2 linked regions of the Ovis aries genome follow. The protein of the gene in region 1 interacts with the protein of each later gene in a biochemical or structural test. Links are inferred from orthologs where the notes say so. Each region holds a gene or a part of one and is shown on either strand. Other genes may lie near its edges.

The links.
Region 2: the proteins of UBE2D3 (region 1) and PRPF19 form a complex in vitro, tested with the Homo sapiens proteins (2 studies listed by BioGRID). The link is inferred for Ovis aries from reciprocal best matches to the Homo sapiens genes UBE2D3 and PRPF19.

Annotation. Positions count from the first base shown.
Region 1 is NC_056059.1:22,372,246-22,378,322, reverse strand, and holds part of UBE2D3 (ubiquitin-conjugating enzyme E2 D3), read right to left. Parts: intron 3,670-6,077; coding exon 3,592-3,669; intron 2,685-3,591; coding exon 2,579-2,684; intron 1,387-2,578; coding exon of another isoform or gene 1,349-1,386; intron 324-1,348; coding exon 230-323; intron 1-229. UniProt on the Homo sapiens protein: Accepts ubiquitin from the E1 complex and catalyzes its covalent attachment to other proteins. In vitro catalyzes 'Lys-11'-, as well as 'Lys-48'-linked polyubiquitination.
Region 2 is NC_056074.1:34,597,755-34,603,831, forward strand, and holds the end of PRPF19 (pre-mRNA-processing factor 19), read right to left. Parts: intron 5,931-6,077; coding exon 5,855-5,930; intron 5,683-5,854; coding exon 5,573-5,682; intron 4,564-5,572; coding exon 4,408-4,563; intron 4,186-4,407; coding exon 4,116-4,185; intron 3,893-4,115; coding exon 3,807-3,892; intron 3,503-3,806; coding exon 3,332-3,502; intron 3,205-3,331; coding exon 3,099-3,204; intron 1,703-3,098; coding exon 1,605-1,702; 3' UTR 1,216-1,604; downstream 1-1,215. UniProt on the Homo sapiens protein: Ubiquitin-protein ligase which is a core component of several complexes mainly involved pre-mRNA splicing and DNA repair. Required for pre-mRNA splicing as component of the spliceosome.

The DNA.
Region 1 (6,077 bases):
CTGAACATGTTAGAAAAAGAAAACATAACCTAGTAAATTAAAAAACAACAACAACAAAAAGCCAATCACATTTAAGTAACTAGCTTCTGCACATTTCAACTACCATCTTACCGGAAATAAGCATCAAGTCTCCTTGGCATCATGCCACAACTTACAGCAAAGTATATAATACTAACTCATTAAGAAAAGCCACTTTTTATGTTGTTTTCTCAAATTACTACATACTTACTTATCTCTGTCTGTTTTATAGATCCGTGCAATCTCTGGCACTAGGGGGTCATCTGGGTTTGGATCACATAGCAGTGAACAAATGGATAAAAGAACTGGAAGAAAACAAATGTCTGTTACCCACAACTGGGAATTTGGTTGAATAAAAGTATTTAAAAACAAGTATTATAATATAAACCTCAATCCTCAAAAGAGGATTAGTTTCTATCTTAATTTCCATAAGACAAAGCTTTACAGAGATTTTGATTCATACAAGACAAGCTCCTGGTAGTTAAGAGATCCTAAAAATAGGTATTTGTTAGCTAGTTTACTGACTAGATACAAAAATCTGCCAAATTCAGAAGTTCTGAGATAGTGAAATGCTACTGTATTAATTTATATTACTTTTTCTTTTGCTATGCCACGTTGAATGCGGGAACTCCTGACCAGGGACCGAACCTGTATCCTCTACAGTGAAGTGTGGAGTCCTAACCACTGGACCACCAAGGACTTCTCTCTATGAACCTTCTGAAATAGTCAAGTGGAGTTTCTTGGTAATGGCTGGAGGGAGGTGGGGGTGGGGACTTTGAATAAGAGTACAGCTATGCAATATATGCTTAGCTGTTTAGCTTGATAAAATAATCCATTTTCTGTCCTACTCTCGGGGGAGTTTCACAAAAACACCCAACTGCCCCAATGACTACAGGTTTTATCTCCCAGAATTTATAAGGTAGAGACCATATCCAAGAATTCTGGTTAAATTAAAAAAAAAAAAAAAAAAAACAAAACAACCCACCAAGATCTACTACTGAGTAGTTCTTCAGCTACAGCTCTCACACTGACCTATTCAAAACATTAACTTAAAAGATGTAAAGCATCATTAGGAATATGTATCTAATTCATTGTGAATACGAATTATGTGCCACTGTGCAAAGTTTTATAAAAAGTTTACGACATAAAAGCTTAATGTGGTTATGACAATCCTTGAAGATAATAGCAATACCATGAAAAAAAAATACATTATCATAGAAAATAGAACTTTAAACTCAAGTGCAGGATCAGAAATAAAACTAAATCTGCATTTACAGAAACAGTGTTCAGTATTGCAGTGCATTCCCAATGATGGTAAAACCAAACAAACCTGGAAAATAGTATTAAAGTCTTCTTCATACCAGGTGCCTGGTGTTAAGAGAAAAGAAAAGACCTGAAAAGAAACTTGAATGTATCCAGGGGGGTAAAAAATGGGCCTAAAACAATGCTGCACCTAAAAGAACGACAGCAGCATTTACCCAAATTGTCCCCACTCCCCACACAAAAGTGTTTCTGATTAATCAAAAACAATTCTGGGAATGCTAGACAGTCCCTTCAGAGAGATTCAAATGCACTGTACAAGGACACAAAAGGCTTGATGTCCTGACTTAACAAACGAATGAACAAACAAAACCTGTTTCACTTTGCATTTACCACACTTCTAAATATAAAACTTCTTGTAAAACACTACTAACTATTTCAGGAAATAATCTGGGGAATGCTACATTAAGTATTCAGCCAAAAAATGAGAATGCTTCAAGTTAGCTGCTATCCTCAAATATCTGAAATTCAGTCATAATTAGCAACATTAAAAACTCATTTTGTGTACTAAGGAATGCTAATAAGCCAGCATCAAAAACTGAATATCACTAAAAGGCAGACTTCCTTCTCATTAAGTAGCTGTGTGGTAGGTGATTTTTATTTGTGGGGTAAAAGTGACATAAAAGCCACCAGAGTTGTTTCAAAGAGATGGAGAGATATTCCATCTGGAACATCAATGTGGAAACTAGACAACCTATTAAAAATGCCACACAACAGATCGCTTTTAAAGTAGAAGAGCAGAATTTATCTAGAGACCTTTCCCAAGACTATGCATTTTAGACTATTATTAGATAGGAAACAACCTACCATGATACATGAAAACTTAACTAAAGGTTTCTTAAAAAGATTTTTTATCTAAAAAATAAGAAACACAGGAAAATGAAATCAGAATTTTCCCATAAGAAACCTCAAGTTCAAAAGCTCTTTTAACTTTAGGTGTACCATTTTTGCTAAATGGCAACAAATGAGTGAGATGTACAAGTGGCTTGGGATTGAAAAATATACTAAGAAAGCTATTAAATGCTGCTATTGATATTTGCAAATACTGCCCCCTCCATCTGAATGTTAACTTCTTCCCAAAAAATCTTTAATCAATACTGCTAAGAGCAAAAAGGATGTAACTTCTTATTCCTTTTCCCATCTTTATTAAAAAGCTGGCATTATAAAAATACTTAGGTAAGTCAGCTCAAAAATGAAACTCCTTTAACTATTAGAAAAATCAAAGCCGCTAGTATTTTACCTTTAGAAATAGTTAAAGCAGGAGACCACTGTGATCTTAGAATATCGAGACAAATGCTGCCATTACTGTTAATATTTGGATGATAAATTCTTGTTGTAAATGCAACCTAAAATAAAAAAACAACTTTATTTTTCCCAAATAAAAACAAGCATTGTAAACTTTGGCAAAAAACTATAGCTACACTTAAAATAGTTAAAAATTTTAAAAATCTAATAGCTAAAGTTATACACATAAAAATATCTATATTCTGACCAAGATCCTTCAGGGGCTTCTTTTTAATTAAAATGGAAAATATAACCATGTGGCAAAAATTTTATTATCAGTGATATGGTGGGTTGTTCTGAAGGTAAACTTTGGCCCTACCATAGCATGAGTATCAAAGGAGCAACTTGAAGGGAATTTAGGATTCACTAACAAATTAGAAACTTTCTGAGGTAGACCAAAGCATACAGATTAGCTCATTTAAGGCATCAAGGTACAAAAGCATGTATTAGAATCTCCATTTCCAACTGTACATAAAACACGCATTTGAATATCATAAAAGTATTTTCATTTAAAGGCCAAAATATACTGTAGTCTTAAATCCCAACACAAATAATGGTATATTTTTTAGCAACGTGTGAAAACGCACAATGAAGGTTAGTGTTTGGAACGCTAGTATTTAAGACACTAGAGTTACTGATCCAAATCTGTATACGCACAATAAAGTGAGAAAAATGCTTCCACATGGTATAGTTGAGCCTTGCAACGTAAAGGATAAGGCAATTCTTAACTCCAGTTACAAAGTTCAAATCCAGGTTTAGCTCTTCTTTTAACTAAGGCTAACAGTCAGCATTCAACATCAGTGATTTAATTCAGTATATACATTCAAGCCCCAATTATTCTTATTCATTATACACTCACAGTAGTTTAGCCTTAACTTATGCAGAACCCTAATGTCTAGGAATGTTCTATTCTTCTGAATAAAATACAAATCTTTACTCACAGACTTGGGGGTGGCAGGGAATACTTGCCTTAGGTGGTTTGAAGGGGTAGTCTGTAGGAAAATGAATTGTCAAAAAGAATACACCGCCTTGATATGGGCTGTCATTCTGTGAAAAGAAAAATATGCTTAACTCTGCTATTTAAAATGACTGCTAAATAATTCATGTCAACATTTATTTGCTAAGCATTTCTCTAATATGAAGCAAAATTACCTATTTACACAAAAATAGTCTAAATTATTCCATGATAAAGTTCTTATTAGTGAAAAACCATAATATTTACTATAGAATAAGGAATCATAATTTAGATCCTATTTTACATGCAGTCAAAGAATTTTAGAAAAACTATTCAGAAACACAAGGTTCGAGATCCTAGTTCTCATCAAGTACAGGTAAGAATGAAGTCTACATAATAATGCATCTAATTATCATCTGAAAATAAAGCTTATATCTGTTTGTTGAGCATTTCTTCTAATGACAGTCATATATACACAAACAACTTTGTACCTTAACAGGCTATTCTGGTCACTGGCAAACCAGAAATTTATCCCTTGTAGGTAAACATAACTCCCTTCAATAGGGGAAGTAGAATAGAAACAAAGAAGTTTCTAAGAAGTTTAGTTCCCAATTGGCCCCTCAAAATTCTCATTTAATAAAACCATGACAGCTTTTTCTTCAAAATTACACCACAAAATTCTTTATAGTAAGTCAATACATAAAACTACTAGATTTGGAAAAGCTGGGATGTTTGCTTTGCACACTTGAAACAGAAGATACAAAATTTCAAGCTACAGCAGTACTTTTTCTCCTTAAATGTTTTGCTCACTGTAATTTGAGTATGAAAAACTCCTCAGTAAATAAATAGCATATAACATTAGTATGAAGTAACATTTGGGAGAAACTTACTAGTATTCCACATTTAATTTAACCAATACCAAGAAAAAGATGCAACTGTTGCCATTTCATGAGTAAATGAAATAGGACTTAAACATACCAAAGAATGAAAAGATGATGATGTAGTCAAGGATTTTAAGGTCAAAGAGTTTTTTTAAAAAAATGGAATTGCATAACTGCCTCTGGATATGCAGTCAACCTGGAAATATGTTTGAAAATCTGCAGTAACTGAATTATTGTCAATACCCATTCCTCTCCATTTGAGTGAGGATGTATACAGTGCTATCATGAACCTTGTATCATACTATGCCCACTTCTTATTCGAGGCAAATAACCTTCACAGGGCTGACACTGTAGTACAGCTCATTTAATCCCACCCCTCTGTAAAACTACTAAACATTAATTACTAACTCCATTCTACTTACTAGGTAGTGAAAAGGGACACAGAATAATTTCTCATCTTGCTAAATCTACAGTCTGGTAGACATATAGTGAAATTTTATAGCTATTATAAAGAAATGAAAAAGGGTATATACCTGGGGTTTAAAGGAGAATGGTAAGTATACTGATGATCAAGTTAAAAGATACATATGATTTAATGGGAGAGCTACTATTTAAATGTCTTTCCTACTTCCAAGTCCCTCTGCTTCATAATGCCTACAAAACTCTAATTCAAGAAAATTAAGACTGCAAAATAGCATCTGCTAAGTACAGACAAATCAGACACAAGAATGTGACCCAAATTTATTAAATTAACATATCATTGTTAAATAATGACTATTAATTGGAAATAGATGCTTCAAATAGTTTACACTTTTATAAAATAGGCTCATGGAAGATATGTTTTTACCGAGTACAGTTAACAATTTAAGGGTAAACTGTTTTAATGAAAACATGTTTTCATTAAGCTTTAATTTCAAAAATTCTGCTTAAGCTTTCATTCCAAGTTTCATACAATCAAGCTCTACATCTGACTGCTTCTTAAAGGCAGTCTAACAATAGATTTAGTCAAAATCAAATTTCATCTCACTTGTTCAAGAAAAAAAAACCTTATAGAATGAAAATATTTCAATGTTACAAATTAACACCAAAACTCCAGCAAAGAGGAGAAACTGGTAAAAACAATACATGATCTAAAGGTAATCAAAATATGTCACCTAAAAACTAAGGCTCTACATTTGAATTTACCATAAATCAAATAAATATACCAAGAAAAACAAAAAGGAATACTTTGATAGACAAACCGAGCCAATCTTAGAAATGAAGAATTCATAACAGATCTCTTCTTTAGAAACATTCTACCCTAATTTTGCTACAATTAGTCCAAACTCCAAACTGCTCCTCCCTCAGTGTCTGTCTGTACTCTTCCCCTAAGGCAACTATGATATTCTGCTTCTATCTCCTGTCCCACACTTATTTTGGTAATTCTAGGATCTATCTTTAGTGTAGTTATTCCTTCTAAGACATATATTCAAATGCTTATTGAATATGTTCTACTCGGATGTCTCAAAAACTGAAACCACAATAGTCAAGCCACAAACTAGGATCTCATCATTGATTCTTTCCCATCTTACTCATAGTAGATACCGAATCTCAAAAATCCTTAATAAGTCTTCTAAACT
Region 2 (6,077 bases), on another chromosome or scaffold:
CAGTCGCAGCCGCCCGCCCTTATTCAGGCAAATATCTGATGATGTCATCGCTGTGGCCCCGGTAGAACTTCTGCCGGTGTTCGCGCGGGCTGTACACTATGCCGACGCCCGCTACGAAGTACACGATCTCCGTGGCCACCGTGTAGTAGAGGTTGTTGTGGCACTGGTGGCCCCGGTAGCTGTACACCCACTTGAACCGCAGGTGGCAGCTCGGGGCGCTCCTGGCCTCCATGTCGGGGCACCCAGCCAGCCACGCCACTCCGCTCGGGTCTTAATGGACAGTAAACAGAGATAAATTAATCAATCTGTCTGTGGCCTTACTCTACTAAGTGCCAAAGCCCGGATTCTGTCCCCAAGCTCGCAGAGCCCACCTTCTAGGCTGGACTGCCAAGGTGCCTGAAGCCCCATGGGGGTGCAGGAAGCTGCCCAGTTGCTGGACAACTAAAGATAAGGTTGTTTCAGGCATAAAATGAACAAAATGTCATCTCATATTGTTTTCCTTCATGTTCCACTGGGACCGCTCTTTGAAAGGGTACTGATGATCTTCCAAGGCCATACCCAGTGGCACCACTCCAGCCATGCTGGTTTCCTGCACCTGCAGCTCGCATCTTGATCTTCCAGCTTCAGGACCTTCCCTCAACTGCAACACTCCTCCCCTTAGCTCCCATCAGTCACCCATCAGCTTATCATCTAGAAAAGGCCTTTGACCACCCAAAGCAGCCACAAGGACTAGCCTGCCTTAATTCCCCAACCACAGGGGTCATGAGCTCCCTGACATTCTGCTAATTTACTGTTTGCTGGCTGGGTCCTCCCAGACCAGTTTGAATTCTAATCTTCAAATACCAGTCACAGAAGGATTTCTGATTCAGGCCAGTTGAGACAGATTTTCTGTCGCCTTGGACTGAAGGACTGAGGATGCTCTGAGAGATGGCCGGTTCTGTGGCAGCGAGATTCTCAGCACTCTCCCCTTCCCCCACTTCCAGGCTCACATGGGAGCCACCCAAGGCAGGTGACATAAAACCCCATAAATCACAAAGTCAAGGCCTGCAGGAATGTGGAAGAATCATTCTGGCAAATGGCTTGTAGATTATTTTTAAATTTGTTGTCCAATTAAAGAAACAACAGAATGATGGGCATCCTGGTGGTTGAAGCCCTAACTGGTGCTCCCTCCCCTTGATTCTCCCCACTACAAACAGACACAGGAAGGCGGCTACGTTTGTTTTCTTTTTTTAATGAAACTAGAGCGCTGCTTACAAAAACCTTCCTGAGCCCTCGGCCCAGTCCCTTCACAGTTCCCTTGGCTCAGCCTCTCTCCAACTCACAGGAACTGGAACACGGTGGGTGTGGAACAGCCATCAGCTCCATCAACTCCTTGAAGAGAGGCCCTGGGGCCGACGCTGAGCCCTCAAGAGGGTGACGGATGAGGGTGGTCCATGCCACTGCGGCTCTCAGGCCACCACCGGGACCAGAGTGAAATGATGCGAATGTCCCACCCCATACACCCCCCACCCCCCAGTAGTCTCTTCTCCCCTGCCCCCCACCCCCACCCCTAATGCTATCCCTCTACTGAGACGAGGCCCCACTCCGGTCTGGTGAGCTGCCGCCTACAGGCTGTAGAATTTGAGGCTCCGGTCCATTCCCGTGGAAGCAATGAACTTGGCGTGGTGTCCGAAGGCCACCCCCGTGGTCAGGCCACTGTGCTCTGTGGAGAGACAAGACAACGGTGAGGAGGCTTTTCTTCCTTGGGGTCTCAGCGTCGACCCCTATGACATGCTCCCCACCCGTCCCTGTGACCTGGAAACCTCCCGCGGCCTGGAAACCCCCAAGGCCAGAGCTCTACATGGCACTGAGCTCCAGAGCCTCCCTGGGGCTGGCCCACAGCAGGCACTGTGTGTGGCTGGGCTGAGTGAACACAGGAACACCGGTCCTCCGCCACCTAAGCTTTCGAGGGCAGCTACAAATTGGCTTTGCTCGGCTCAGTCCAAGTCTGAGAACTGACAGGAAGCTGGACTTGTTGGTCTTTAGTTCTGAGCCCCTGTGTGTAACTGGAACAGTCTTATCAGCCTGTCCTAGCTCACACAGAAGGCTGGGTCAGGGGCAAAAGACGCCAGGCAACCCTCTCCGCTGGGCTCAGGTAGTTCATGGACATCAGGGCAAATTCCCACAATCACAGCTGGCCCACCAGCTCCCCACTCTAACGCTGCCCTGTGCTTCCAGCCCGCCACTCCACTGACTGCTCTAAATCAAGGCACCGGGGCCCAGGGAAGGTGAAAACCCATGGGCCACACCATCAGGTCTGGCCATCTCTGGGACACACAGTGAGTAGAATCTGGGGTGGGAGAAGGTGCTTGTGCCCCGCCCACCACCCGCTAATGAGAACAAGAACTTCGTTAACAAAGATGGCAGCAGCTGCCATTCCTTCAGTTCCTGAAGGTGCAAGAGGCATCCTGTCCCCATGCAGGCCACCTCCAGGGCACCAGCCGGCACAATATGCGAAGCAGTGTCAATACGCCCATTTAAAGATGAAGTAACTACAGCTCCAAAAGGGAAAGTCATGCACCAGAGGCCACACTACTATTAGGAGGTGCCAACTTTGTTGGGGTGGTATTTGTATATAATGTACACACATTCTCCTATATACTTTAAATCATCTCTAAATAACTTGTAATTCCTAACAGCACAAATTCTATGCCAATAATTTTAAATATAGTGTAAATGCTACATGAATAGTTGCCAGTGTGCGGGCAATTTGAGTTTTGCTTTTTGGAACTTTCTGGATTTTTTCCGCCCACAAATATTTTTGATCCACAGTGGGTAGAGTCTGTGGAGAATCAACTGTACTATTATTTTCCAGAGAAGTTAAGTAGCTTGCCCAGTGTCACAAAGCTTCGAGTGGCAGAGCTAGCATTTAAAGTCAGGCAGTCTGACTCCTGAGTTCCTTGTTTTAGCCACTAAACTCTATTGCCTCAGAGAGTGACTAAAAGCGGCCTTGGCAAATGCACGCCTGCCACTAGAAACCCCTAACCCAGTGAAATTTTCCCCACTTTCTTCTGGGCCAGAGCACCCAGAGACCTCAGGGTCTTAGGGCAAGCCTCTACCTGTAAAGTGAAGAATCTCCGTCCACTGTTTACAGATGTAGATCTGGACGTCGGTGCCGCCAAGGGCCAGGTAAGTACCGCTCTGGTCAAAGATCAGTGACTTCACCTGCCAAAATCAGGAAAGAAGTCACATGAAAGGAAGCAGAAACTGTGGGCAATTCGGGGAAAACAGAGGCAGTTTAGAGTAATTCACTGACAAACGAGGAGGAGGGGTGACAGAGAAAGACGTGTACCTCAAAGTTGTTATCCAGCTGCAACGTCTTAAAGTTCTTAAGTTTGCGCAGATCCCAGAGTTTAACAGAGGAGTCATCGGCCGCTGTAGCCAGGTAGTAGCCGTTCTCCGAGAAGGCAATGCTGGTGATGGGGCCCGAGTGGCCGGGGAAGTTGGCCACATTGGTGCGCTCCTGTGGTTGGGGAGCAGGGAGTAAAATGTCACCCACTGGTCATGAGGGAGAAAATGGAGCTCAGACAACTCCACTCCTGAGACGTCCTCCACCCTCAGGGAGGACAACCAGCAGGAAGAGCAAGGGTGGACGCCCAGCCTGGGGACCCCAGTACTGTGCCACACACACAGTACTGTCACACACACAGCCCCTGTCTCCCCACTCTTGGGACACCCCCGGGGCCAGGTGCCATAAGCACTTCATCACACCACACGGGGACAAGAGCTCCAACCCTGGGCTGCAGACGGGGACAGCCATGTCCTACCTTCAAGTCCCAGATCTTGATCTGAGAGTCCATGGTTCCTGTTCCAAAAATGAGTCCATCAGGGTGGAACTGCGCACAGGTGAGAGCTGTTGGGGGGGAGACAGACAGACGGTCAGAGCCCACCCTCAAGATACTAAGCACAGCAAAGGTAGGCTCCTCGCTGTTCCTCACGCTCCCTGGGCCAGCACTATGCCCGGCACCCAGCAAGCACTGGCAGCATGTATTTTTTAGAACAAATGAGCAACAACTAAATAAAACATTAAACAATATACAGCGACTGAAGAGGCCAACACTTAGGAGACAACTTACAGCAACCAGAGGTCTCATCGGTCACCTTGGTGAGCACACGTCCTGTCTGGATATCAGAGAAGGCCCAGTACTGAAAAAAAAAGAGACAACAGAGCTGGTAAGACAGTGGGTCCCCAGGTTCTGATGGCCCCTCAGGAAGGCAGGGACCCTGGTTGGGCAGACCTTGGCAAGGCCATCCCCTCTCTGTAGAGAGGAAATACTCTCTCCTGGTTCTGGGGACCCAGCTGGGTAAGATGTTTCCTCCTCCCAGGATACCTGAGTTTGGGGACCAAGAGCCTGGCTGGGACGATACCTGGTCATCAGAGGAGCTCAGGAGATAGTCACCAGTGGCGTGGAGGCTGAGGCCTGTCACAGCGCTCTCGTGGGCACGAACAACCTGTACGCAAGAGGCATTCGGAACCGACCAAATCCTGATAGTAGCATCGGGGGAGGCAGAAAACACCAGCTCCTAAAAGGAGAGCAAAGAAGCAGATTATCAGAGACAGAAGAGATGGACCACAATCATCTTGTAAAAGCGGGCTGGGGACGGCCACAGCCCTGCTGGGCCTGGAACCTTCCATCCCCACAACAACGCTTGAGTGGGCCAAAGGGTAAACACTACTAGGATGGGAAATTAAACAGCATTTGGCCAAGTGGAGGAGGTCCTGCCATCTAGTGGTAAAAAGAATTAGTGAACCAGAGGGAAACTGTCCATCCCTTTCCCAGGACCAGAGATATACACCTATCGCAATTCAGGAACTGAATGTTTAATTCCATTTTATTTAAATAGCCCCATGTAGTTAATGGCTCCTGTCCTAGGGCAGCACAAGTCCAAGCTGTAGCAGGCCTGGAAGGGGTTGTGAAGGCATTTCCTAAGCATCCCACACTTAAGAATTCAAGGGCAAGTTAATTCTCAGAAAAACTGGTGACAGAGAACTCACATAGTGTCACCAACCTACTATTTTGGTTAGTTAGGATATTAAAACCTGTAAGGTAAAACCAACTACCATCTTCCATCAACACAACTGCATAAGAGAAATAACATACTAACACGCTCAGCATCAAGTTTCCATCCCCCGGCCTGGAAGACTGTGGGAATCTGGACCTATCCATCCCCCTCAGACACATGGGGCAGACACATGGGGCAGAATTTTGTTGAACTCTGTGCACTGCAGTTTGTATTTTAAAATAGTGTAGAGATTCTGCCTTCCCTAACATAAAACTTTTCAATATGCTTTTCAAACTATATGTTTCCTTTCTTCCCTGGTTTGAAGGCCACTGTTTCAAGAGTTCTGACAGTCGTGGGCAATCCCACGACCCCAAACCTGGCCCTGAATCGCCAGTGCTGAAGAGCTGGCACTCTCAGGCCCATGTCACTTCACCAAGGAGGCAACAGGGGCGGGGGCCTGGTTCTGGGACCTCACACTACGGCAACAGGGCTCAGAAATGAGGGCTGAGGGCGCTAGGGGAGCGCTTACCTGGGAAGGGTGAAAAACCACACTGGTGACCTTCTTGGTATGGCCTTTGAGGGTGGCCAAAATCTGCTCAGAACTCTTGTCGAAGACGACAACATTCTTATCCGCCCCACCTGGAGGGGACCAAAATGAGATCCAAAAATGAGTCAGGCCCCCAGGCCCCTCTGCCAAAGGTTCTTTTGTCCCCAGACCCACAGAGAGGACAGGAGTGGGCATCCTCCTTGCTGTCCTCCTCTCACCCTCTCCCACCCTCTTCTTGGCTTGCTGGGCTGGGCCCACTCTTACCAGTGAGGATCTTGTTGGTGTCAGAGGGGCAGAGGTCCAGGGCAAGGATCCCAGGAATGCTAGCACTGTGCAGCCCCTGTGCAGAAAAAGCCACATCAAACCTAGTCATGGCTCAATCAAAGCAGGCCACAAAGCCACTCAATGGCTCCGGCCCTGGCCCCAGCCCCAGCCCTGGGGAACAAGAGTGACTTCTGTTCCTCGTCCACTGTGCTTGGCTTTCTGC